7 separate regions of the Mus musculus genome follow, and all the other regions are reported to be linked to region 5. The links are microRNA targets in miRTarBase. Many come from high-throughput screens and were not tested one by one. Region 5 holds a microRNA gene; each other region holds the end of a gene's coding sequence.
What was found. The annotated mature microRNA mmu-miR-541-5p reads AAGGGAUUCUGAUGUUGGUCACACU and lies in region 5 at 1,979-2,003, shown strand. An mRNA with a match to its seed (bases 2 to 7 or 8) in the 3' UTR can be bound and repressed. Matches are read on the target gene's strand: a 7mer-m8 pairs with bases 2 to 8, a 7mer-A1 pairs with bases 2 to 7 and ends in A, and an 8mer does both.

Region 1 (3,083 bases), not on the chromosome of region 5:
GTGTGAAGCTTTAGAGGACAATGACATTTTAAGTAAGGTAAAGTTGCCATAGGGAAAATGCCCAGGGTTAGCATGACTGGCATTCCTCATGGCACTGAGTAGATGGACATCAGGTGACATTTCTGTGGATTAGAGACCTGAGCCAAAGAAATTCCTACTGTGGGCTTGGATGTCACTGCTCTGTTTACTCTGCACAGGCTGACAGTAGCCCAGGAGGTCAAGGACCTCTGGAGCATTCTCTCCTTGGTGGTATTGATGAAGTAAGTGTTTATACATGCCAGGGGTACACAGGAGAGTTTCTCTCCCCTCCTTGACTGTAGCACTGTCTTGACCATAATCTTCATTCTTGTCTCTTCTCAGAAATACCTCAGGGAGTTTTTCAGTGTGATGCTCCAGTCCGAGACATCTCCCCTTCACATCAACAAAGTGGGACTGACCCTGTCCAAGCACACCATTTGTGAATTCTCACCATTCTTCAAGAAAGGAGTTTTTGACTACAGCAGCCATGGGACAGGGTAGAGCTGTGGCGACCAAGGAACCACCAACACAGTGCCTTCTCATCAAATAGACTCTGATGCAGAGTGGACTCCTGCACCAGGATTCCAGCTTGCCTCCTCCAGTTGTGGCAACATGCAGCAGCCAGCCCAGACCACCTCTCACACCATATCTAGTGCCTGAGTTTGGGAGTGGGTGCTTGCCTGCCAAGGGCAACTCTGATTGACAGTTGTTACTGTACCTCTGCACTTGAACGTGGCCTTTCCCATAGTACAGCAAGTCAATCCCCTGTGGCAGGATGGATGTGTGGCTTGCTTATCTAGGGACTCCTAGAGCCAAGCCAACTTGGGACTTCCCATTGTGGGTGGCTTACCAGACCACCCTTAAGTGACTTTCATCTGGTTTCCTTTTTCACCAAAATATGCTTTTTTTTTTATACTTCTTCCATGTGGCTGGCTAGGTTTCAAAGATGTTTTAAGTTATGTCATATTGTTTTGTTCATTTGGATTTGGATTTAATAATATCTAAATACTGACGTTTACATAGAATGTCCTGTTCAGTAAAAAGGATCTGTAGGCCAATCATGAGAAGAGTCTTCCATGCCTGACAAATTGGATGTAGGCAACATTGCAGAAACTTGCAGAAATCCCTACAAATAAGACATTGTTTAACCTTCACTATTTGAGGGCATTTTCCCAAACCTCAAAGGCTGTTGTTCATTTTTTAGCTTTTTCTGCATAAAACAAGTGCAAAGCTGGATGCAATCTTTTAAATATCCTTTGTCCATGTTTTAGTACAGAACCTTCAAGATCATTAACTAAAAAGAGAGAGAGAATTTTCAGTAGTTTATTAATAATCCCTCAATTACTCAGGACATAATGTAGCATTTCACATCGTGTACAGTGAAACTGCTTCCTTTATCAAAAGAAAATTGTGAGTAGGAAAAATCTGTGGTATATATTGAAATGTACATAATTCAACATATAGATTTATATGTATACACTCCTGTACAATAGTATATCAGGCTATATGATCATTCACACCAAATTTATTAAAGGTGTTTGCTTTTTCAACTGTTAAATTGAGCTGCTATCAATATTAAATGAAGTCATGTGCTATACCCTGTAGTTCAGTTTAAGTTTGTAATATGATCATTTCTACTGGTCTGTTTAACAATTGACCTGATATGCTTAGAAAGAGGCATATTGTACAATTTAGCATTTATGTTGCAGAAAATGCAGTTATGATTGAAGTCACAAATGAATGGATAACAAAACATGCTTGCATTCAGTCTTCTAGAACATGCCCGCACAGCAGATCTCTCCAAGCTCACAAGAATGTTGGAAGATGCAGCTAGCCCTATAAGGAGGAGACTAATATTCAATTAATTAAATATCATAGCTTAGCATGAAAAAATAAAACGGACTCTTTATTTAATTGCCTCAGAAGTGTATGCTTCTCTCTCCAGTCTCGATTATAGGCCTAGGTTTCATAGCAATTGCTATCAAGAATTTAAAACTAAAGATTAAAGGATAAAAACTGGGAGATGATAAATTAACCATGGGTCATTTATTTAAAAGAAGTTCAAGTGCTGAAAACTATCCCTCATTGGCTTGAGTAAATTTTTTTTTTCAACTGACCAGATAATTAATATGTCTCTCACCCTCTGGGGCCTATATTGAAAGGTGGGCTCTTGGTGAGCATTTTGTTAAAATTATACGTGTGCTATTTGGCAAGAGTAAAGAGTGTATTTGTGATGATCAGTCACAAGGAGATCTTCCTTGTATCAAATGCATGGTAGTGCTCAGAGCCCTAGTATTGACTAGCTCTGGCTAAAGCCAGCAAAGGCCTGGACCAGTCACTCCATCCACCCAGACCTTGGCCCCATCTGAAAACAAAGCTATTCTCTGAGATGATTCTAGCTCCCGCTTGGACCTCTGGTTACAGCAGGGGGTTAATTATTCCGGTTGGTCCAGCTGAAGACCTCCATGTACAGGAATCATGGAGTTCCTCTTGAGCTAACAATAGGAGAGATGATAGGTCTGAGCTGACAAAACGGAAGCCTGGGCAGCTTGAACTAATTTAAAGAAGTAAAAGAAATTTAATTAACAAGTATGTATGCATCATTGTGCTTTCAAGCATCCTGGATACCAAGTGGCCACTGTCACAATTCAGACTGACAAGTCATCCTCTTACACTTTGTTGTTACTTGGACAAATCTGGGGGACTTCTGTTTTAAAGTAGGTGGCATGCCTTCCTAGACATTGTTTACAAAATAAATACTCCTCTGTCTTGTTTAAAAATCACAGTACAGTTACCTTCCATTGGGCTCCCACACAGACCTTGCCCTCTCATTATGAAGTTCAGATTCAACCCTGACGTTGAATAGGAACAGAACAGTAGTCATGTCAACTCCTAGTGACTGCAGCCTACAAGAGTCTCTCATCATGATATAGAAATGCTTAAACAGGATTCCTGGATCTCAGATCATTTTAGATCTAAATTTTTGTGTAGAAATTTAACATTTTTATGTTAAAAAAAAAAAAAGTAGCTCAGCCTGGCCTCTGATCAGCTACACAGGCTCTATC
Region 2 (3,083 bases), not on the chromosome of region 5:
CACAGCCTCCTTTTCTTCAAACACCTCTTCTGCCCAAAGTATAAAGATGTTTAAAATTCCCAGAACCATGGTTGAAGACCACAGAAACAAGGAACTGACCAGCTCTTTCCCCTGAGCATAAAGAACGTAGCTCTTTCCTCTGTAAAGATGATGGAGGAGGATTTACAATGGAGAACTCGGGGGAATATACTGGAAGGCTTAGTTTTATTGTTCCACTGTGGGAGGCAGCTAATCCCAACATACATCTTTTCCCTTTGGTGAAACTGAACAGCACCCCATTTTGCACAAAAGGCTCTCAATAATGATGTGATATTCTAAAAGGCTGGTTTTATGCTTTATTCTTCAAAAGACTAAGCCTTCATTTGAACTTAATTTGCTAGGCAAATGCTTTTTGTTCATATTGAAAACACTAAATCTCAGTCACAGCTCCGTTTAGGACATGAGTGTATCTTTCAAAGGATGGATATGCTCACCAGGCATGGCGGTCCGGCTTCCCTTGCAGCTTAGAGAAATGCAAGATCCACTTTAAATAAAATGCAGTTCAGCATATACAAAAATCTATCTATATTATACATTTTGATAATTTAAGTTGAAATGTTACTGTTGTCTGCTATCAACATATTACAGGTTTGCCTATAAGCTGTTTCTTGCCTTAAAGATAATACATTGGCAACAGCATTTTTATGACACAACTGATGTCAAATTGTAACAATGTAACTTCTCAGATCATTAGAAATATTTTTATCAGATTTAAAGCACACACAGCATTTCCTCATCTGCTTTAACTGGGTACACATGACCCAGACATAAAACTGGATGGTGATAAGACTACAATGGACTAGGCAGAAGGTACTGACTTAGGACAAGAAAGTTGCAGTCTCATGATTATTAGCAATGTCTTAAGAACTCTCCAGTTATGCACTACGACAGATAAAAGGTTTTAGAAGAAAGAATTCCATGTACCACCACATGTTGGCATAGCATTCTTGGTGGCTTCAAAGGGAACATGTGAACACACCAGCATTTAGAACCTGACTATTTAATAAGCAGGCTCCAGTGTGCTGCCATGTTTATATTGTATTTGAAAGTGTGCCGTCTGTTTATAGCAGTTCACTCAGTGACCTCTACCTCAGATTAATCAGGCTGCCAACAAACAAAAGAACAGGACAAATTCCCCTCTGTAATTCTTCCAACCCAGAAAGACTTCAACCAAAGCATTTTTACTTCAATGGTGTTTCAATATAATGACTGAGTGCCTCAAGTGTGAAGTTATTCCTCCATTTCCTAAATTTGGCTAAATTAAGCATTTGACATAAAGTCTGACACAAAGCAGGGACTGAATGGGATAGCAATGTGGCATGGGCTCTGACATTCTCCTGATGCTAAGTCAAAGCCAATGCTCTCTAAAGACGCATTTCTTGCCCCAGTGTCAAATCAAGGGTTAGACCTGAAGGAAAGACACACAAACAGAAAGACACTCTGCAGTCATCGGACTTGCTTGACAGTCGTTGAATTACAAGCAGTGAGCTTTTTGCTATATATATATATATAAAAAATCAAGCAGAATATTTAAGCAGTAATTTCCCCTTCCAATGAGAAACCTGAGCCACAACACTAATGGTATCTGTGACAGACAGGCCTGTTTTGACCAGGGATAAAAGACCGAAATCCTGAAGGAGTTGAAGCAGCAGCAGGAGAGGTCTTAGAAACCAATGAGCCACACGGTGCTCCTCCCACCTGTTGTCTACGAGTACCACCCTCGAGCATCCATCTCCTCCACATTCCGTTACAGACTTTTGCTCCTACCAAAATCAGCAGCGGTCTTGCAAAGCTTGATGCAGTTAAACAGTGAACCTGACTTGCTGATGTATGTGATGGCAACAATGAAGAGTGTAAAACTTCCATGATTCTCCAAGGATTAGTTGGAGAAGACACAGGTTATAAGAACGTCTGACCGTCCACTTGACCATCCACCAAGCACAGTCAAGACTGAGAAGGAATAGGCTTTAAAAACTGTAAGTTGACAAGCTCCAGGTAAAAACCACTTTAAAAGATCCATTTCATTACATAGCCAATATATATTATTTATAAATGTAAGACTGATTCCTTTAACATGACCTTCTTGAAATAAGGTCTACTTGGTAAGTGGTAGGGAGTGTCTCTCGTCTCTCCATCCAGAGTCTTCAATGGTGTAAATTCATTCCCACAGGACTGGGTCCTTAGTGAATGTTCCTCTGGGAGTGGACTGCCCAGCACAGCCTTACTGCAGGGGTCAGAGAAACGAAGCAAAAAGAACTCTGATTTCTAGGACATCAACTACTGCTTATTGCTGCATCTCATATAAATGCTGTATGCTGGGTTCATTTCCTCATTTTGAAAAACATTGATTTTCCTCCCTATTGTTATTTAACTTAAAAGAACAAAAATTAAAAAACAAAAAAACCCCCCAAACCTATCTTTGTTCTTTAACCCGCAGAGAATGAATACATTTAGGCAAGTAACCAAAAAAAGAAAAAAAAAAAAATCAGAAACATGTTCTTTGCCCAGAGTCTACCGAGGGATAGTGTAGGCTTTTCTGTAATAAGGCACCCTCATTCCACTTTTTTCTTAAAGGACACTTTTCCTTTGGTTTCTTGTAACTTCTCAGTGAGTCTGTCCTTTGTCTCCTCCATTTTCTCTGTGATGAGCTCCTTCGTCTCTTCCATTCTGCCCTGCAAGTACTCCTTGACAGGCGGTGGGGTTGACATGTAGCCGTGACTTCGCAAATACTTCACGGTAAAGGAGGTTCCTCCCAAGGTCACGGTGTAGCGGGCAGGCGTTGCGATCTTAAGGGAAAAGAAAAGCAAACGGGATCAACATCTGATTAGGACTAAATAAAATGACGTTGAAGTTTACGTTCTTGGTAAGATTCAGCACAGACTACTGTTGGAGGTGAGTATACCACCCTATAGTGTCTTTCTAAGATAGAATACTTTTCCTGCAGACATTTTAAAATGTCTGTCCTCAGACGATAGCATTTCAGATTTCAGGGTTATCACAGACAGCTGCACTGACCCTTACTGACCTGTGTGTGCCCTAGGTCT
Region 3 (3,076 bases), not on the chromosome of region 5:
ACGTAGACTGGACATGGTGAGGGCTAGCACAGTGGGTGAGAAGTTCCCATGGAGCTATCAAGGGAGACTGTACAGTGTGGGAGGACAGAAGAGATCTGTGAGAAAAGTGGGGCAGAAGGGAACAGATGGCTGTCTGGGAGCTGAGAAAGGCTAGGATGGCAGTGTGGGTTTGAAATGTGTAACAGCTACTTGGGATACTGAGGGAGCCTGGAGGCCTGCAGGGGCTTTGACACACAACCTATATCCCTTCTGCCAGAGTGGGAACTACTTTCACAAGATCCTGAGCAATGCTGGCTTTTATCAAACTTCCAGACCATTGGAGTGCCTGAGACCCCACAAAAGCCAATGTGGTTACTCTTAGGGGTCACACTCATCCTTGTAACTCTCTGTCAAGACATCAACAGACTCCATCTAAGTGCCCTTTGCAGCCAGTCCTGGAAGGGGTTCACACACTCAGTGTCACAGACTGAGTACAGTAATGACTTCAGGTCTTTCCCCTTTTGTGAGCATAGTCTGACTGCTTAACTGTCTGGCACAGTGCAGCAGATAGGACAGGTCTGATGTGCTTAGCAATGTCCTTTCCCCACATGGTGTTAATATTGTCTGCAACTTCCCTGACTGAGGTCCTGATTTACTGACTTCTTTACAGATGATGCCAGAAGTCCGTGGAGCCTTGTTTGGTGCAAATGCCAATAGGAAGTTTCTGGACTGAGCTTCAGGAGGAGCAGTTCCCCCACGGCTGTTCTCCTGGAGAAGCAGATTATCTGTGTGGCTTCCTCTTTCTGTTCTAATACTGGTAATCAGTGGACACCCTCTACAGCTAATGCCCTCGGCTCAGTGTCAACAGCAGGGCCACTTGGTGTGGGCAAGAACCCAGCCCCAGCTCATCTGAGGCCACAGCTGTTCACTGGGTTTGCAGCAGGACGGGAGGGTCAGATGTGCTGCACGGCCTCACCCAGGACCCATTCTTTCCCTGTCCTGCTCTAGTCTAGAGTGAGTTGTGCATGCTGTCCCTGCTCTTTGGGCATAAAGTGCATGTGGGACTCACATTCCTCCAGGAACACTACCTTCGCTGTTACTGTTTAGGTCTAGTCTTCCTTCTCTGTAAATGTGATTTAAAATCTAAGCCACAAATATTCTTTATTTATTAAAACAGAGGGCTTATGTGGATTTAGTTGTTGTTCCTTATGTAAGGCACCGAGTTTGTGATTTGAGAGTAAGTTCCACTGGGCACGGTAGCCCACACCTGTAGCCCTAGCTGTGGTGGGAGGATTGTTTGGGGGCAGCCTGGGCAACAGGAAGATCCAGAGAGGAGCTATCCCAAATCCCTGCCGTACATTAACCTGCCTGTCCTGGAGGCTGGACAGCTTTGTGTGTGTGTGTGTGTGTGTGTGTGTGTGTGTGTGTGTGTGTGTGTGTGTGTTAGCAGTGGGTGCCAGAGCCTCATAGGGAAGCAGATGCTGCACCGCTGAGCCATGCCCCGCAACCTGTGGCCTGTGCATCTTTGGGGTTTTACCTATCTTGTCTTAGAGAGAATAAGGCCGTTTTCAGATGGATTATCTGCATGTACATCGGCGTACTCCCCCAGACCCAAGTTTTACGTTAGGTGGGACTAATGGAGGTTCTTTTCAGTTTTGTAGTTTGGCAGGGTTGCATACAGTGTAGGCTGGCCTAGAATGTGCTCACTGATGTTATGACCTTCATGTTTCCTATCCTCCCGTCCTCAGCTACTAAGGACTGGGACTATAGGCACGGGCCACCATGGTGTTGGGGGTGGAATCCTTTGCTAACTGACCTGTGTACCCAGCTCTCATTCCTGTTTTCTTAGGGCCTAACATCATTTGTGTGGCTTCGGAGAAATGAATTGAGGGCCATGAGATTGGGTTTCTTGGTGTTGACATGGCCATGAAAGGTAGAAAGAGGTGAGAGTCAAGGGTAGGAACTGGAGCCAGCACCTGCTGCTCTTCCGGAGGACCTGAATTCAGTTCTTAGTGCCGTGTCTGGCAGCTCACTACCACCTGTAACACAGCTTTAGGAGGTCCAATGCTCTCTTGGGGGTTACAGATACACAGACATGTAAATTAGTAAATAATTATTTTTTAAAAGCTGAACTCTTTCAGTGTACAATTTCCCCCCAACCACTCTCCACTCTAGAACAGCAGTTGGAAGACAGTAATGAACTGTCTGTGGGGCCCAAGAAGGCACAGCTTGACTCTGCAGAATGACAGTCATCTGCTATGCTGATTACAGGACAAGGATTTAACCAGCTTTATTTCAGATCATGTCCCACAAGCATCTATTGGAAGGGATCTGGGCCCATACTTCAGGGTGAGTATCTGGGGCAGGACCGCTGCTGAGGTGGCCAGAATGTTCATTCAGGCTCTCAGACTATTGCTGATGCCCGCGAGGGCACAGGTGCACTTCTGATCTGTTAGGGCGGCAAGGTTAGGATTGACGCTAAACCCTCACAGGACGATTCTGTGCCACACTTGCCTGCAGTGGGGATGTTAGTGTGGAAGAGCCCTTCTGTCTTACTGCACACGGTCCTGCCATAGTACATAAGAGGTTGGGGCTTCCGAACATCTCTGGTTCAGAAAGTTTAGTTTTCATAAAGGAGATGAAGGCTCTACTCGCTTAGTAAAATGGGTCATTTCTTCTGAGGTAGCACTACAGGTTAGAGACCACGTACGTCAGAGCCAGCATCTTATACTTCCAGCAGTGCCACCTAGTTCCCTAGGGCCAGAGGTGACAGCAAGAAGTGACACATAGATTACTCAAAGCACTTCAAGATGCGCTCTCCGATGCCAATGAAGTAGACGCCCTGGGCGATCCCAAAGAGGGGGGCTATGACCAGGGCACGGCAGCCTGCTCCTTTCATGAAGGCTGCTGGCCCCTCCTGTGTCCAGAGCTTCCTGTGAAGGAAGAAAGGAGAGCTTGGTAGGTGAAGGCTACGCACACATTTACTCAGGACTTTCTGTTGTTGGATTTGGGGAGAAGGTCTCTAGGTGTAGCCCAGGCTCTCCCTGGGCTACCCTCAATCTCCTGAGTGCTAGGCTTATAGGATTACAAGCTCTGA
Region 4 (3,083 bases), not on the chromosome of region 5:
CCAAGGGTCACTCCCAGCCACCGGAATGCCTGTGTACTGTAACGTCACACCGCCAAACCCTCAGAACAACCTAAGGTTGATGGGTCCACACTGCCCCTCCAGCACGGTTCCTGTCATGTCCGCTAGTTGCAGAACAAACTGTGGGAACGTGAGCAACGCAGGCTGGCAGGTCAAGTTCTGAGAGCTCAGGCTGCCTGCTGTCCACTTCATCAGATGTTAACTCATGGCCTTCAAAGGAAGAGGAGACTGACGACTGGCTGAGGACTTCCATATACACTCAACGTGCAAACGATTGCTGCTGGTATTCTGTACAAACTAATCAAAGACTAATACACACATTAGCTGGTTAATGGTGCATAATTCCGTCATGTCTGCTAGGTATGCCTTTCTAGCTTAGCTAGTGACATGAATTCATCAAGGTAAGATTTTCTCCTACCACTGAATACCACTGTGTAGATTACAATATCCCTGATTCGGATTAGTTTTGTACTTCGTGTTGAGTTTGTGATGCTAAAAGTATTTAAAAATATATATATAAACTAAATCACACGGTACCAAAGCTGTAATGGAAAAAGGAAAGAGTTAAGGAATGGAAGGAATAATTTATATACACTATAGAGTTTTCTTTTTTAAATGGATATATATGGTATTGTAGTGTTTAATCCAAATAAAAGCTTATTTGACCTTACGGAGGAAGGTCATGTTTTTACCACCAGTTTGTTTCCGTCTCTCTTTCCATGTGCTGTTTACCTATTTAGTTAATGGTTTCATTAGCAGATAGATGTTAATTTTAAGAATGACATTTCCATACTTGTACAGAATACATTTTGACCACATTAAAACTCAATGTCTCCTCAAACTCTCCTTGATATCCTCCCTCTTCTCAGTTAGCTCCACTCTTCCATGCACTGTCTGTCTGTCTGTCTGTCTGTCTGTCTGTCTTTAATGAACCAATGAGGATTTTTTTGGGGGGGGAGGGGAGGGTTTATTTGACTTTCACTTCAATATTGTTGCTCATCACCAATGGAGATTAGGACCGAAACTCAAACAAGGCTGGAACCTGGAGGCAGGAGCCCATGGAGGGCTGTTTCTTACTGACTTGCTCTGAATCAATGAGTTTCACTAGGGCTTCTTACAGAAGCAAGGAGAGGGGATTTTTTAAGTTTAAAGGAACTTGTATAATTACTCTCTTAGAGGGAAAGTGTCTCTATCCCCCATCAACCATTAACTACCTATAAGTCCTCAGAGAGGGGCAGGGATTCATAAACCTCCCCTCCCCATGACAGGATGTTGATAGATTCCATTTTGTGTAGGTAATTGAAGATGCTGTGAGCTCAGTCAGGCCACTCTGTACCAGGCCTGGAAGATAGTGTTCCAAGAGAGTTTGCTCTTCTGCCTTCTCTTAAATTCTTTCCATCCCTTCCCCCGTGATGGTCCCTGTGCCTTGGAGGGATCATATAGAAATCCAATTTTGGCTGAACATTCGCTATGATTGTGTCTTATTAGTGTCCACGTTGTTCTTTCTTGGCGTCCCCTCACGGCTGCTATATGGAAAAGTGGCTCTCAGGCATTTTGAGTTGGCTAACATCTCTCTGAGAGATTCTATAAGCAAATATTAGTATCAAGAATAACCCCTCATCTTGATAGCATCATAAGGGCCATGAACATAAGTTGAACTCTGTGTCATTGATTTTAATTTAAAAAATATTGGAGGTGTAGAGCTATATTGTATCTACTAGGAAATTCTGAATGTTGCTAATACCAATACCTACTCTACATCTAGTCTTTTTCTGTCTTTGCTGGAGTTAAACTATGTGACTAGTAAAGATAAATTTCTTATTAATATAGAAAAGGCAGAGCCTGATTCCTCCTGCTATACTGAGCCACATACTCCAATGTACTATGGGTTTGGACAGTGAGCCAACATCTCCAAGGTACTGGCATTTGTCCTGGTAACTGAAAAAGAATGTATATAGCAACTATTTAATCACAAAGGCTAGAACATCTGCAAAGCAAATATGCAAAGCCTATGACTATCCAATCCCCTGACGGATGTATAATTCCCTATGGCATCCATGGTTAAAACTGAGTTAGGACAAAATTTAAAAATTAATAACTGAACTCTGGACTCGGAGGGTTAGCCCTTGGGAAGATGTCTCTTTGAGGGAATGAAACCTCGGAGCTTTCATCTTAATACCACAAGATAAGAATTCCTCTGTTGTTTATATTTCCTCCCTAAAAATGTGTTAAGGGAATGGCGTCAGGGAAATTCTCATCGGTTTTCATTTGCTCACACTGCCTACTCTGGATTTTTTGTTTTCAGTTGTTTAGCTGTGGATAGAGTTAATCACTTAAAAACCCTGCTTAGTAGATTATCATTTCTTTCTGTCAGGCGTCCTCTTCTTCCTTTCAAGGGGGGCTTTTGTGCTATTCTAATTATCTCTGCTCCATGTGAAGTCTGCTCCATTTTCCCATATCTGGGTCTACTTAATTTTTCATCATCATAATCCCTGACCATGAAAAGCATTATAAGAATTTTTCTTTTAATTGAGCCATTGAACCAATAACCACACTGAGGAATGTCAGCACACTTACTTCCTTAGCTAAGATCTTTCCCTAATGGAAAGAGGGTCTTGGCCAATATGTATTCATTCTCTAATTACATTTATTTATTTATTTATTTATTTATTTATTTATTTAGTGTGTGTGCGTGTGTGTGTGTGTGTGTGTGTGTGTGTGCACACGCGCACATGCATGCATATGTGCACACATGCCCTGGTGCACGTGTGAAAATCATAGTACAATTTTCAGGAGTCAGTTTTCTCCTTCTACCTTATGGGTTCTCAGGATGGCCACCTGGACAGCAAGCACCCTTTGGATTATCTCACCAGCCAATATTCACTTTAAAAAATTCTCTATTTAGGCTTTAGACTTTGACAGTAATTCTAAAATCAAATAATCAAAACATGAGTTGGAATGCTTATCCTCCCCCATAGAACTCTGGGGAACTTTGTTTTTTGTTTTATGAGCCTTAGAATTGCTGAGCCACTTAAGTGCTGTAGATTTAAGCCTTATATATGTTA
Region 5 (3,083 bases):
GGAGGCAGGGCTGCCTGGGGAAGAGGCGCCCTGCTCAACTCTCGGCCTGTGCTGACGTTTGATTCTTGAGCAGAGGTTGCCCTTGGTGAATTCGCTTTATTGATGTTGAATCACACAAAGGCAACTTTTGTTTGAGTATCAAAGCCTGCTTGGGGTGGCATTGGGGACACGTTACAAAGTTCTGGGGTCTCTGCAAATGTCATGTGCTAGAATGGAAGGTGTGGATATGGGGATGGTCAGGAAGGGGTGTGGCTCAGAACGCCACGTGACCAGACATGTAGTCCCAGGAACCAATGGAGAGATGCCAATATCTACTCCCTGACTCTTCTCAGCCTGAATCCTCTTTGTCACACCAGCACCTAGCCCCCCTAGTTGCAGACACACTCGCTGTTCTATCTCTACTCTGAAGATACCTTGACAAAATGAACTCTGTCCTTTGACAGTGTCAAGGACAATGGCAGCCTTCCCTCCCCACCCCCTTCCTCTCCTCAACTCACTGGGTCAGGAGTGCTCACATACCATCTGTTTTTCCCCCCTCCCACCCCACCCCCTCAACACACCTCTGTCTGTTTCTCTTTCGTCCTCATCGCTCACCAAACCTTGTTCTCCATTTTTGGATGGGTTAGGAAATGAATAGAGGCGACCAGCATTTCATCCCGTTTACATTAAATAATAGTGATAAAATAATCACAAAATAACACCACAAACTACCAGAATAGCTTGGAGGAAAATGTGTTCAATTGACTACAAATTGGCAGAAGAATCCAATTTTCTTGACAACATTTGAGCTGCGACATTTGACCTGGGGAAACAGTACTCTGTAGACATGGCAGCCGCAAGGGGCAGCTTCAGTAGTGGCGGATGCTATGAGCAGTAATATTTGTGGTAGATGAACGCACATTGAGGAATCAAATCTTCGTTCAGATTTTTAAATGGGAAAGAATTGATCCTAATGAAAATGATTTGAGGAAATAACAAGGGAAATAAAAGAAATGAAAATGGCCCAACAGCACAGTCAAGGAAGCTAAACAGGGAATTGGATTAGTTTAATGGAATTTACTTTAAAAAAAAAAAAAGGAAAGAAATGCATGTTTTTTTATGAAAATCAATGTGGGTGTGGTGTTTGAGATGGGGAAATCTATGGATATAGACTAGAGCTAGTGGGGTGATAAGAAGGACTGGTCACCATGTGGGTTTTTTTTTTTAATGTGGCTAAACTTTATTTTCCCATCCCAAACCTTTACAGAGAGCTTCATGGAGTATTCAGAAGCTGGCGGGTGTCACCTGGAGGATGTGACTGGGTACCAGTGCCAGAGCACGTGCCCACTGAGCAGTCTTCTTCACTTTCCTCGATCCTCATGAAACATTCCGGGTAAGACACTGGTTCTGGGGAGTCTGCTCTTGCCGAGCAGTTGGTACCTGGAACATTCTAGGGCCTGCCCTTCCTTGGGTTTCCATGTTGCCAGCTCCCAGGGCTAGGCTTAAAGACGTACCCATTGTTGGTGCTGAAGGGCTAGGCCCGTACGGGAGGTCATTTTAGAGTGGATGTATCCAGGGTCTAATATACTATCTGGGGTGTGATGAGCACCAGGTTTCATGGTGGCTCTCTTTCCAAAAGGATCTTTACCTCAAAGGACTCCAGAGGCTACATCATTGTCTTGGAACTGGTCAGTGGCTGGAGCTCTCTCCAGGACAAGTGCTTGGAGGAAGAACCTGGACAAGCTTCCCTCCCCATACTGTTGACTGGATCTTGTAGCTACCGTTAGCCACCATCATCGCCATTGTGTGCCTCTTAGGAGCATTTCCAGGAGGTGATGCCAGCTGGGGAAAGAGCCTCTGTCCCACAGGTCAGTTTCCAGAACACCTACATGAAGCTGCCCGTGGCGTCTTTTCCCCGTATGACACACTGCATGTGACCAGTCTCTTGCTGCCCTGCAGCAAGGCTAGAAGCCTGTGTGAACTCTTGCCAAAATCAGAGAAGGGATTCTGATGTTGGTCACACTCCAAGAGTTTTAAAATGAGTGGCGAACACAGAATCCATACTCTGCTTATGGCCTAAGTCAATGGATCCTGACCCTTACTGGAGAGCCCTCCCTGGCGTGCTCGTGCGGGGCAGCCATACACACTGGCACAAGGGGACCCTGCGGGATCTCCTTCCGCTGTTCTTTCTCTCCTCCCTCCATGTTTATCTTTGAAGCATTACTTGCTTGGTTTATAGGACTGGATGGTCAAGCAGTTCTTGCTATGACATCACCGTGGGGGGAGGGGGCAGGTGACAGGGCGGGGATGCCAGGGTCGTGGGGCTGCAGTGGTTGGGTGGGCCCAAGGAGGAGCATCTCTGGATGATGCAGTCATTGCCTCCTCGCTTCTGGAAGGCATCGTCTCTGGGAGGGTGGTGTGGTATATGCGCAGGGTCTCAGCATCTCCCTATCTCCAGCTTACAAAGGAGAGATAGAGTAAGCAGAGTTCTGCACCCACTTCTGCCCCGAGTCAGCTCCTCGCTACCTGGGTCTCAAGGTTGTCTGGGAAGGCTTTAGATATTCTTGGAAGGTGAAAGGGTGGTAGATTGCACTGGGGAGGTGATGGAATAATTGCTTTCACGTGGTGGAGGGTGGCTCCTCACTGAATGGGGAGTTATAATCTCTGAGGGGCTCCAGGATGGTTCTTCTGGAAACTCAGCCATCGGCCTCGTTCTGAGCATCCGAGCCTCTCCGTGGTACTCGGAGAGAGGTTACCCGAGCAACTTTGCATCTGGAGGACGAATGTTGCTCGGTGAACCCCTTTTCGGTATCAAATCCCTCCAGGGAGGCCACCTCAGGGAAGACCATGGACTCATCTCGCTCTGGGGTATGGGACGGATGGTCGACCAGCTGGAAAGTAATTGTTTCTAATGTACTTCACCTGGTCCACTAGCCGTCGGTGCCCGCTGCAGCCTGCGCCCAGGATGTCACAGCCTCAGCTCAACACCTCTGCTGGTACTTGAAGGGAGATCGACCGTGTTATATTCGCTTGGCTGACTTCGAATAATACATGGTTGATCTTTTCTCAGTATCAACGCTCAGCTTGGAGAAGCTCTTGGAGTT
Region 6 (3,071 bases), not on the chromosome of region 5:
GAGATAAACAATGCAGTTATCATTCCAAGGTCGAGACCCACAGGCTGGCATGCCTATCTTGAGCTGTTATTAAATTTAGCCTGTTAGGCACCTGTGCACCCACTGTGTCATGTTCATGTTAAACATGCTCAGACAGACTCAAGAATGTAGACAAGAATCAAACGGTCTCCTCAACTTACACACTCTGGGAACCTTTATACACAGCTGGGATGTAGCCTTTCAAGATAAGGGCTCAAATGTCAGTAACGTCACGTGACGATGACTTATTTCTTGTATGTTTAGCACTGAAGCAAAGATATTCTCTTCACAAGTGAATAGCAATCATGGCGTGGCTTTCTTGTTATAAACAGGCTGTCACATTGCTTTAGTTTTCATTTTGTCCTTGGGCCACTGAGACACAGACACTAAAACTGAATGGGCATGTTTTTTTATACCACGTCGTAGAATACATGTTATTTCCTAAATTACAATTTACACTCCTAAAAGCCAACAAAATGTTTTAAAAATAAAACAAAAAATTCTACATGCTACTTTTTTTTTAGCACAAAGCCTCTAAAATAAACTCATACAGGAAAATGGCACTGAACATTAACTAGCTATCATCTATATAATGTAGGACCCAGTTCTAAGACAGTAAGGAAGGAACACAGAGCAGTAGTGGCAACATAATGTAAAACCTATCTTTGGATTATATAAGCTCAACCAAAATTATCCTCAAGCTGCAACAAAACACACCATGGTTTAATTAATATTCCAATCAGTATAGGCTTTATATTATTTATTTTTAGGAAACTAATCATCTAACATCAGTATTGTCTCCTATAGGCAACTTTTCTTAAATGATTATACCTGAAGGCCTTGCTACTGTTATCATAACTGTAGTGTGTGTATTCTGTAAACTATTTGGGGAAATATATAATTTGGAAAGCTTAGACAGTATTTTTCCATTAGGCTTTTCAGAAGGCTACAGAGTCAACCACAAATGACTTTCCTGAAAACTGTTTCGCATTGAAAAAGATGAAACGTATTTATATGATCAGAAATTCCAAAGCCTGATGGAGCATACTAAAATAAATTGACCTTAGTTCTAACTTCAGTTTCAGTGTTTCATAATACCTAAAATTTCCCATTCAAGCACCGTGCTTAGCCTTGTTTAGCTTCTGAGATAATGAGAATGAGATTGGGTATTGAATCAAGGTAGTGTGGCTGTAGAAAATACTTATATCTTGATGTTTCATTTTTTATTAAAATTAGCATTACCTTATCAGATAAATAAATCTGGCTATAAAAATGTAATTAAAAAAGACTGCCAAATAAATGCCATGCTGATGCCATAGGACAGAGTTTTTCACTTATAGGTTATGATAACTGAATCCTAGCAGGAAGACTCAGCTACAGTTACATTAAGCCAAAATTTATTAAGACCTTTTTCTACAACCATCTTTAGAGTGAACAAATCTGTTTCCTATAGAGGAAGCACCTATATAGTTTGGAAGATTTTCCTTAACTATCTGAAAATGGACTGTGTTATATTCAACACAGGAACATCATTTCAGTTCCCACTAGACCCTGAGAATGCACTGAGGAATTTGACAAGAATAAAGCCATGAGGAGTGCTGCCACTACTGTTTTATGTTCAGTAAACATCCGTCTTAAATACATACAGTAAATATACACCACACCAAGGGCACCCGAAACACTGGTGCCAAACCACAGACGGTAACATCTGTCCTAAATCAGAAAACCTAAATAACCTATAAACATTTTTTCCTTCCTTCCTTCCTTCCTTCCTTCCTTCCTTCCTTCCTTCCTTCCTTCCTTCCTTCCTCCCTCCCTCCCTCCCTCCCTCCCTCCCTCCCTCCCTTCCTAGACAAAGAATTACTGTGCAGCCCAGGCTAGCCATAAACTAACTAATGATCCTCCTACTAATGATCCTCCTGCCTCAGCCTCCTAAGGGCTGTGACGGCAGGAATATGCCACCAAGCTGGGTTTCTAATTTGAAAAACAGGCAGGAACAGTACTCCCAGCCACAAACACACAAACACCTTTAAGAAGTAATTTCCTTAACTAACCCTATAGTTATATAATGTTTGACTTCTTTTAAACCATGCTATACACAATTACAAGATACGTAACTAAGCTTAAGCACAGTTCAATATGAAAACTCACTTTTGTACTGTTTGTGATACAGGAAGAACAGCGTGCCACTGGAACACTTTCATTGTAATGACTGTCACTTAAGATTATGAAAATATTTGACTCATATCCAAATATTTTCATTTCAAATGTATATAATCTATTTAGCCAGCTGAACACAGGAAAGAAAAGGGAAAAGATAACTTGGCAGATGAGAGAATTCTAACACAAGGTTCACTGAGTGGAGTTCTTGAAGGTTTCGTTCCATATGTCAGTGCAGAGTCATAACGTACTGATGTGCCCTACACAGAGCGCCAGACCAGTGCGTTCTTACTGGGCTCAAGAAAATTCTCTATCAGCGCGTCAATGAGTTTCTTTAATTCTTCTTCCAGGAAGGTAGTGTCACTGAGGAAAAAAAGACAAAAACAGTTAAAATTCTTATTTTTATAGCCTTAACATTTATTTAAATCATTTCCACTTTTAAGGAAGGCACATATCTGACAGGACAACTAAATAATCGGCAAACAAAAGAGAAATTCACCCAGTTGAAATAAAACAAAGAAGACTCTTTAAAAATTCATACACAAAACAACAGTCACAAGCTAACACTGGACTGCATTACTCGGATGTCTTCCGGCCATGATAGAGTGTGAGTTCACAGTGGCCAATGAATTTTCCTAGGTTAATCAATTTAATAGCTCAGAATGCCAATAGCACGTATTATTAAAAATGGCTTTCTGAGATACTGAAGGACATTCAGTACAGAAGACATTGAACAATACAAATATCTTTCAGGTATCAGAAAGCAGTCCTGGCACTCACTGGGGAGGCAGAGGCAGGTGATCTCTGTGATTGTGAGGACAGCCAGGGCTCTATAGTGAGAGCTTGTCTTAAAAAAAGAAGAAAACGAATAAGGTATTTATTTTAAAAAATCA
Region 7 (3,062 bases), not on the chromosome of region 5:
CAGCCAGTGGCCTCAGTGGCCACACCACCCTGTCAGGGGGTGGTGACCAAAGGGAGCCCCAGACCTTGGACAGCCAGATCCAGGAGACAAGTAAGTGGCTGGGCTTGGCCTAAGGGCCAGCCAGGGGCCCTGTCACTGGCTGAAAATTGAAGCTCCTTTGTTTTATGACTGGAGTATGGCCTAAATTTTAACAAAGTAACCTTTTATCTTCCAGGCATCTAATGATGACATTCTGGTCTCGTCTTCCATCTCCCCTGTGTTCCCTCTCTTGTCTCCCCCCCTTGTTACCCTCTCCCATCCCTCCTCACGTGTCACTGCAGATTGAGACCTACAGGCTGACGTTCCGGGCAAATGCCAGGGCCCGCACCGACCATGGGGCTGACATTGTCTCCCGGCCTCCCCACTTCCCTGGTGGCCCAAGCTTGGGGTCTCGAGCCCTGGGCTCCTTTTCCCGGGCTGTCTACTAGACTTGTAAGCTCTTGGGTGCTGGGCAGCCCCTTTAGGCCTCCCTCCCTCCTGCCTCGCTTGCTCAAGGCAGCAGCAGCCCCACTCGCTGCCATTACACCTCCTTCCACCCCTTTCTGGGCCAACTCCAACTTCACTATCTCACCACTTCACCACTGCACCACGGAGAAAGTTGGGCGGGGACGGGAGTCCAGTGGGATCTCTGTGGGATCTAGGGGTGAGGAGCTGGATTCCAGCCTTGGCTGTTTGGTTTTTTTGGACCAAACCCAAAAGAAACTGACAAACCTCTCTTCCCTGGCTCAACCTGGAGGGACTGGTAAAGGTGAACTCCACGTGGAGACCAGCACCGACTGAATCCCTGGAACCTAAACCACTCCTTGACCCCACGGGGTGGAAGCCACCATTTGGTGGTACCAGGCCCTTTTGCTGCCTCACCTCAAGTTAGTCAAGGATCAGTCCTCCTTGTCCCCACGACTTATCGTACCTGAGTAGCTGCTGTCTCACTTTTTTATTCTTTCCTCTCCCAATAACCTATGAACTGGTGGTGTAGTTTGCAGGCTGAAGCCATGTCTAAATGAGAGTTCTTGGTAGGTGGTGAGGGAAGTGGGGAAGGAGATCCCGAGTCTCCACTGAGGAGGCTGTCAGATATTGGCGGGGGTTGCCCTACTCTGGGCAGCTTGGGCCCTGCAGGAAGAAGTGAAGTCAGACAGCTAGGGTGGGTCAGTGTGGCTGATTGTGTTGGTATTGTGTGTATGCTGCTTTTCTAACCAAGAGGCTGGTTTTGGCATCTATCTCATTCCCTGGGAATGCGGTGGTTAAATGTGTGATACAAAATCAGGGCTGGAGAAACAGAAATGAAGGTCAAAATCGCTGGCCTGTACCTACAGGCCATAGCACCCAAATCCTCATATCTAGGGGAGCCTGAAATGTCCAGAACGCTTGTGAACAGTGGGGAATCAGGTGTGAAAATTTAAAACTAAAATGCATGAGACTGAGGCCATCCAGTCTTCTGGTGTGGCGGGAGAGGTGGAGCCATGGTGGTGCAGCCATCCCAGCGTGGTCTGCTCATGGATGGGATGGTTGCAATGTTGAGAAAATCCCGGGAATTTTATCAACACAAGATTCTTATTGCACTTGTATTTTTTGTATTAAAGTTTGCATGGTTTCTAATAAAGGATTCAAACCTAAGTTTGTATTGAAATGGCCTGGGAGTGTCTAAGGGCTCCTCTGATAGGGCATTTTCTGCTGGGCAGATTTGCCTCTCAGGAGGCTGGCCCAGACTTGGTCCCCTTGGCCCTCCTCCGAACAGACTCTGCCTTTGCTTGGGTACAGTTTGAGGAGGTAGAGGTCTTTACTCTCTCTCTGCCAAGGGAAGGTATCCCTGGGCTTGAAGGTCTTCTCCATTTATGAGGTAGCAGTTACTTTGTGATAATCTTGACACTGAATCCCTAGCTCTCTAAGCACACACAAAGAATTGCTGGGACCTGTGGAAAAAAGACTGCCTGAGCTGGGGAGTGGCTTTCTTCCCAAGCTGTCAGAACTAAGCTTGGAGCCTGCATTGTCTGTATTTTGCAGCAATAGGGGCCCACGGAGCTGGGAAGGACACAGTGGGGACCAGGGTAGTGATGACTGAGCGTATACAGGTACTTGCTACCCTCCTTGATGTTGATCTTAGGGCCTTGAAGATGCTAAGGAAATTGACAAGAAACAAGTCCATTGGCCAAGGATTAGAGAAAGGAAGGTAACCCAAGCTCTGTAGGTAGCTCCCTGGAAGGATCCCACGAGCCAGAGAACCTGAGAAGGCTGGTCTAGCAGCTTGGGACCACAGGCCATGTGATGTGCATACTTCAAAATGTTTGGGAATAAGGTCCTTCTGTATTTTATAGTTTGCTCATGGCTTAGCCATTACCCATGTCTGTAATTGTTGTACTGATTTAAACAATAAAGCTGCCTGACATCCCACCATGTTATGTTGCTTCTGTCCTCTTAGTCCTTATTAGTTCTTATCCCCTTCAGCTCCTCTCCCACCTGCCTTATGGCTGTGGCCAGGGCAAAATCAATGCCTGGAGTTCCTGGCAGGATGTACACAAATCAAGGCTGCCTAGAACAGTGCTCTTTGCCTCTTGCTATTCATACCCATTAGGACACGGTCTGTGCTGTGGGTATCATTAGAAGCATCTGTGACAATGCTGGGCTTGACCAGATAGTTAGCTGGAATGTGTTGGCTGCTCTGGTGGATCACTCTTGAGGATAGAGGTTTTAAGCCCCATCTGCCTGTAGGACTTGGGCCACTGCCCAGAGTCCTGAGAGGAGCCCTTGGGAGGACAGCAGCACTCACAAGGGATAAATATAACTTTATTTTAAATAAACATTTGCACTCTGTACATAGCCCCAGCGGAAGAGAGGCTCAGTCATCAGCTGTCTTGCGCATATCAAAGCTGCCACAAGGTCCTCGAAGCAACTCTGCCAGCAGTGCAAGCAGCTGCCCGTGTTCTTGCTGCACACTAAGAGGAAGTGCAGCTAACTCGCTGCGGAGGCTCCGCTCCACCATCCGTCCTAGGGCTCGACGAAACTCCCTTAGCAACCGCACAGTTCGT

Region 1: the mRNA of Kif16b is a reported target of mmu-miR-541-5p. Seed matches in the 3' UTR shown: 8mer at 1,140-1,147 and 7mer-m8 at 1,350-1,356.
Region 2: miRTarBase lists Fam210a as a target of mmu-miR-541-5p. The part of its 3' UTR that is shown has no 7-base or 8-base seed match.
Region 3: the mRNA of Slc25a18 is a reported target of mmu-miR-541-5p. The part of its 3' UTR that is shown has no 7-base or 8-base seed match.
Region 4: miRTarBase lists Arpp21 as a target of mmu-miR-541-5p. The part of its 3' UTR that is shown has no 7-base or 8-base seed match.
Region 6: miRTarBase lists Pgm2l1 as a target of mmu-miR-541-5p. The part of its 3' UTR that is shown has no 7-base or 8-base seed match.
Region 7: the mRNA of Map4 is a reported target of mmu-miR-541-5p. Seed matches in the 3' UTR shown: 7mer-m8 at 819-825 and 8mer at 1,909-1,916.

What each region holds. Positions count from the first base shown.
Region 1 is chr2:142,617,194-142,620,276 of GRCm38, reverse strand. It overlaps Kif16b (kinesin family member 16B), which reads left to right. Exons shown (of 26, transcript NM_001081133.2): 26 at 361-1,932. The coding sequence ends at 519. Among named protein-coding and RNA genes, the nearest start is that of Kif16b, 280 kb to the left of the region's middle.
Region 2 is chr18:68,266,128-68,269,210 of GRCm38, forward strand. Fam210a (family with sequence similarity 210, member A) reads right to left here. Exons shown (of 4, transcript NM_153794.4): 4 at 1-2,825. The coding sequence ends at 2,592. Among named protein-coding and RNA genes, the nearest start is that of Mir7219, 6.7 kb to the left of the region's middle.
Region 3 is chr6:120,793,338-120,796,413 of GRCm38, reverse strand. Slc25a18 (solute carrier family 25 (mitochondrial carrier), member 18) reads right to left here. Exons shown (of 10, transcript NM_001081048.2): 10 at 2,432-2,912. The coding sequence ends at 2,771. It overlaps Atp6v1e1 (ATPase, H+ transporting, lysosomal V1 subunit E1), which reads left to right. Exons shown (of 9, transcript NM_007510.3): 9 at 650-1,170. The coding sequence ends at 712. Among named protein-coding and RNA genes, the nearest start is that of Slc25a18, 21 kb to the right of the region's middle.
Region 4 is chr9:112,062,863-112,065,945 of GRCm38, reverse strand. It overlaps Arpp21 (cyclic AMP-regulated phosphoprotein, 21), which reads left to right. Exons shown (of 21, transcript NM_001362020.1): 21 at 1-855. The coding sequence ends at 181. Among named protein-coding and RNA genes, the nearest start is that of Gm51694, 23 kb to the left of the region's middle.
Region 5 is chr12:109,740,444-109,743,526 of GRCm38, forward strand. Mir541 (microRNA 541) reads left to right here and starts at 1,966; the gene lies at 1,966-2,055. It overlaps Mirg (miRNA containing gene), which reads left to right. Exons shown (of 8, transcript NR_028265.1): 3 at 1,247-1,372; 4 at 1,619-1,847; 5 at 2,914-2,975. Mir377 (microRNA 377) reads left to right here and starts at 67; the gene lies at 67-134. It overlaps Mir409 (microRNA 409), which reads left to right and starts at 2,715; the gene lies at 2,715-2,793. It also overlaps Mir412 and Mir369.
Region 6 is chr7:100,271,797-100,274,867 of GRCm38, reverse strand. Pgm2l1 (phosphoglucomutase 2-like 1) reads right to left here. Exons shown (of 14, transcript NM_027629.3): 14 at 1-2,541. The coding sequence ends at 2,439. Among named protein-coding and RNA genes, the nearest start is that of P4ha3, 12 kb to the left of the region's middle.
Region 7 is chr9:110,081,521-110,084,582 of GRCm38, forward strand. Map4 (microtubule-associated protein 4) reads left to right here. Exons shown (of 19, transcript NM_001205330.1): 18 at 1-90; 19 at 215-2,434. The coding sequence ends at 222. Dhx30 (DEAH (Asp-Glu-Ala-His) box polypeptide 30) reads right to left here. Exons shown (of 23, transcript NM_001252682.1): 23 at 2,799-3,062. The coding sequence ends at 2,873. Among named protein-coding and RNA genes, the nearest start is that of Dhx30, 35 kb to the right of the region's middle.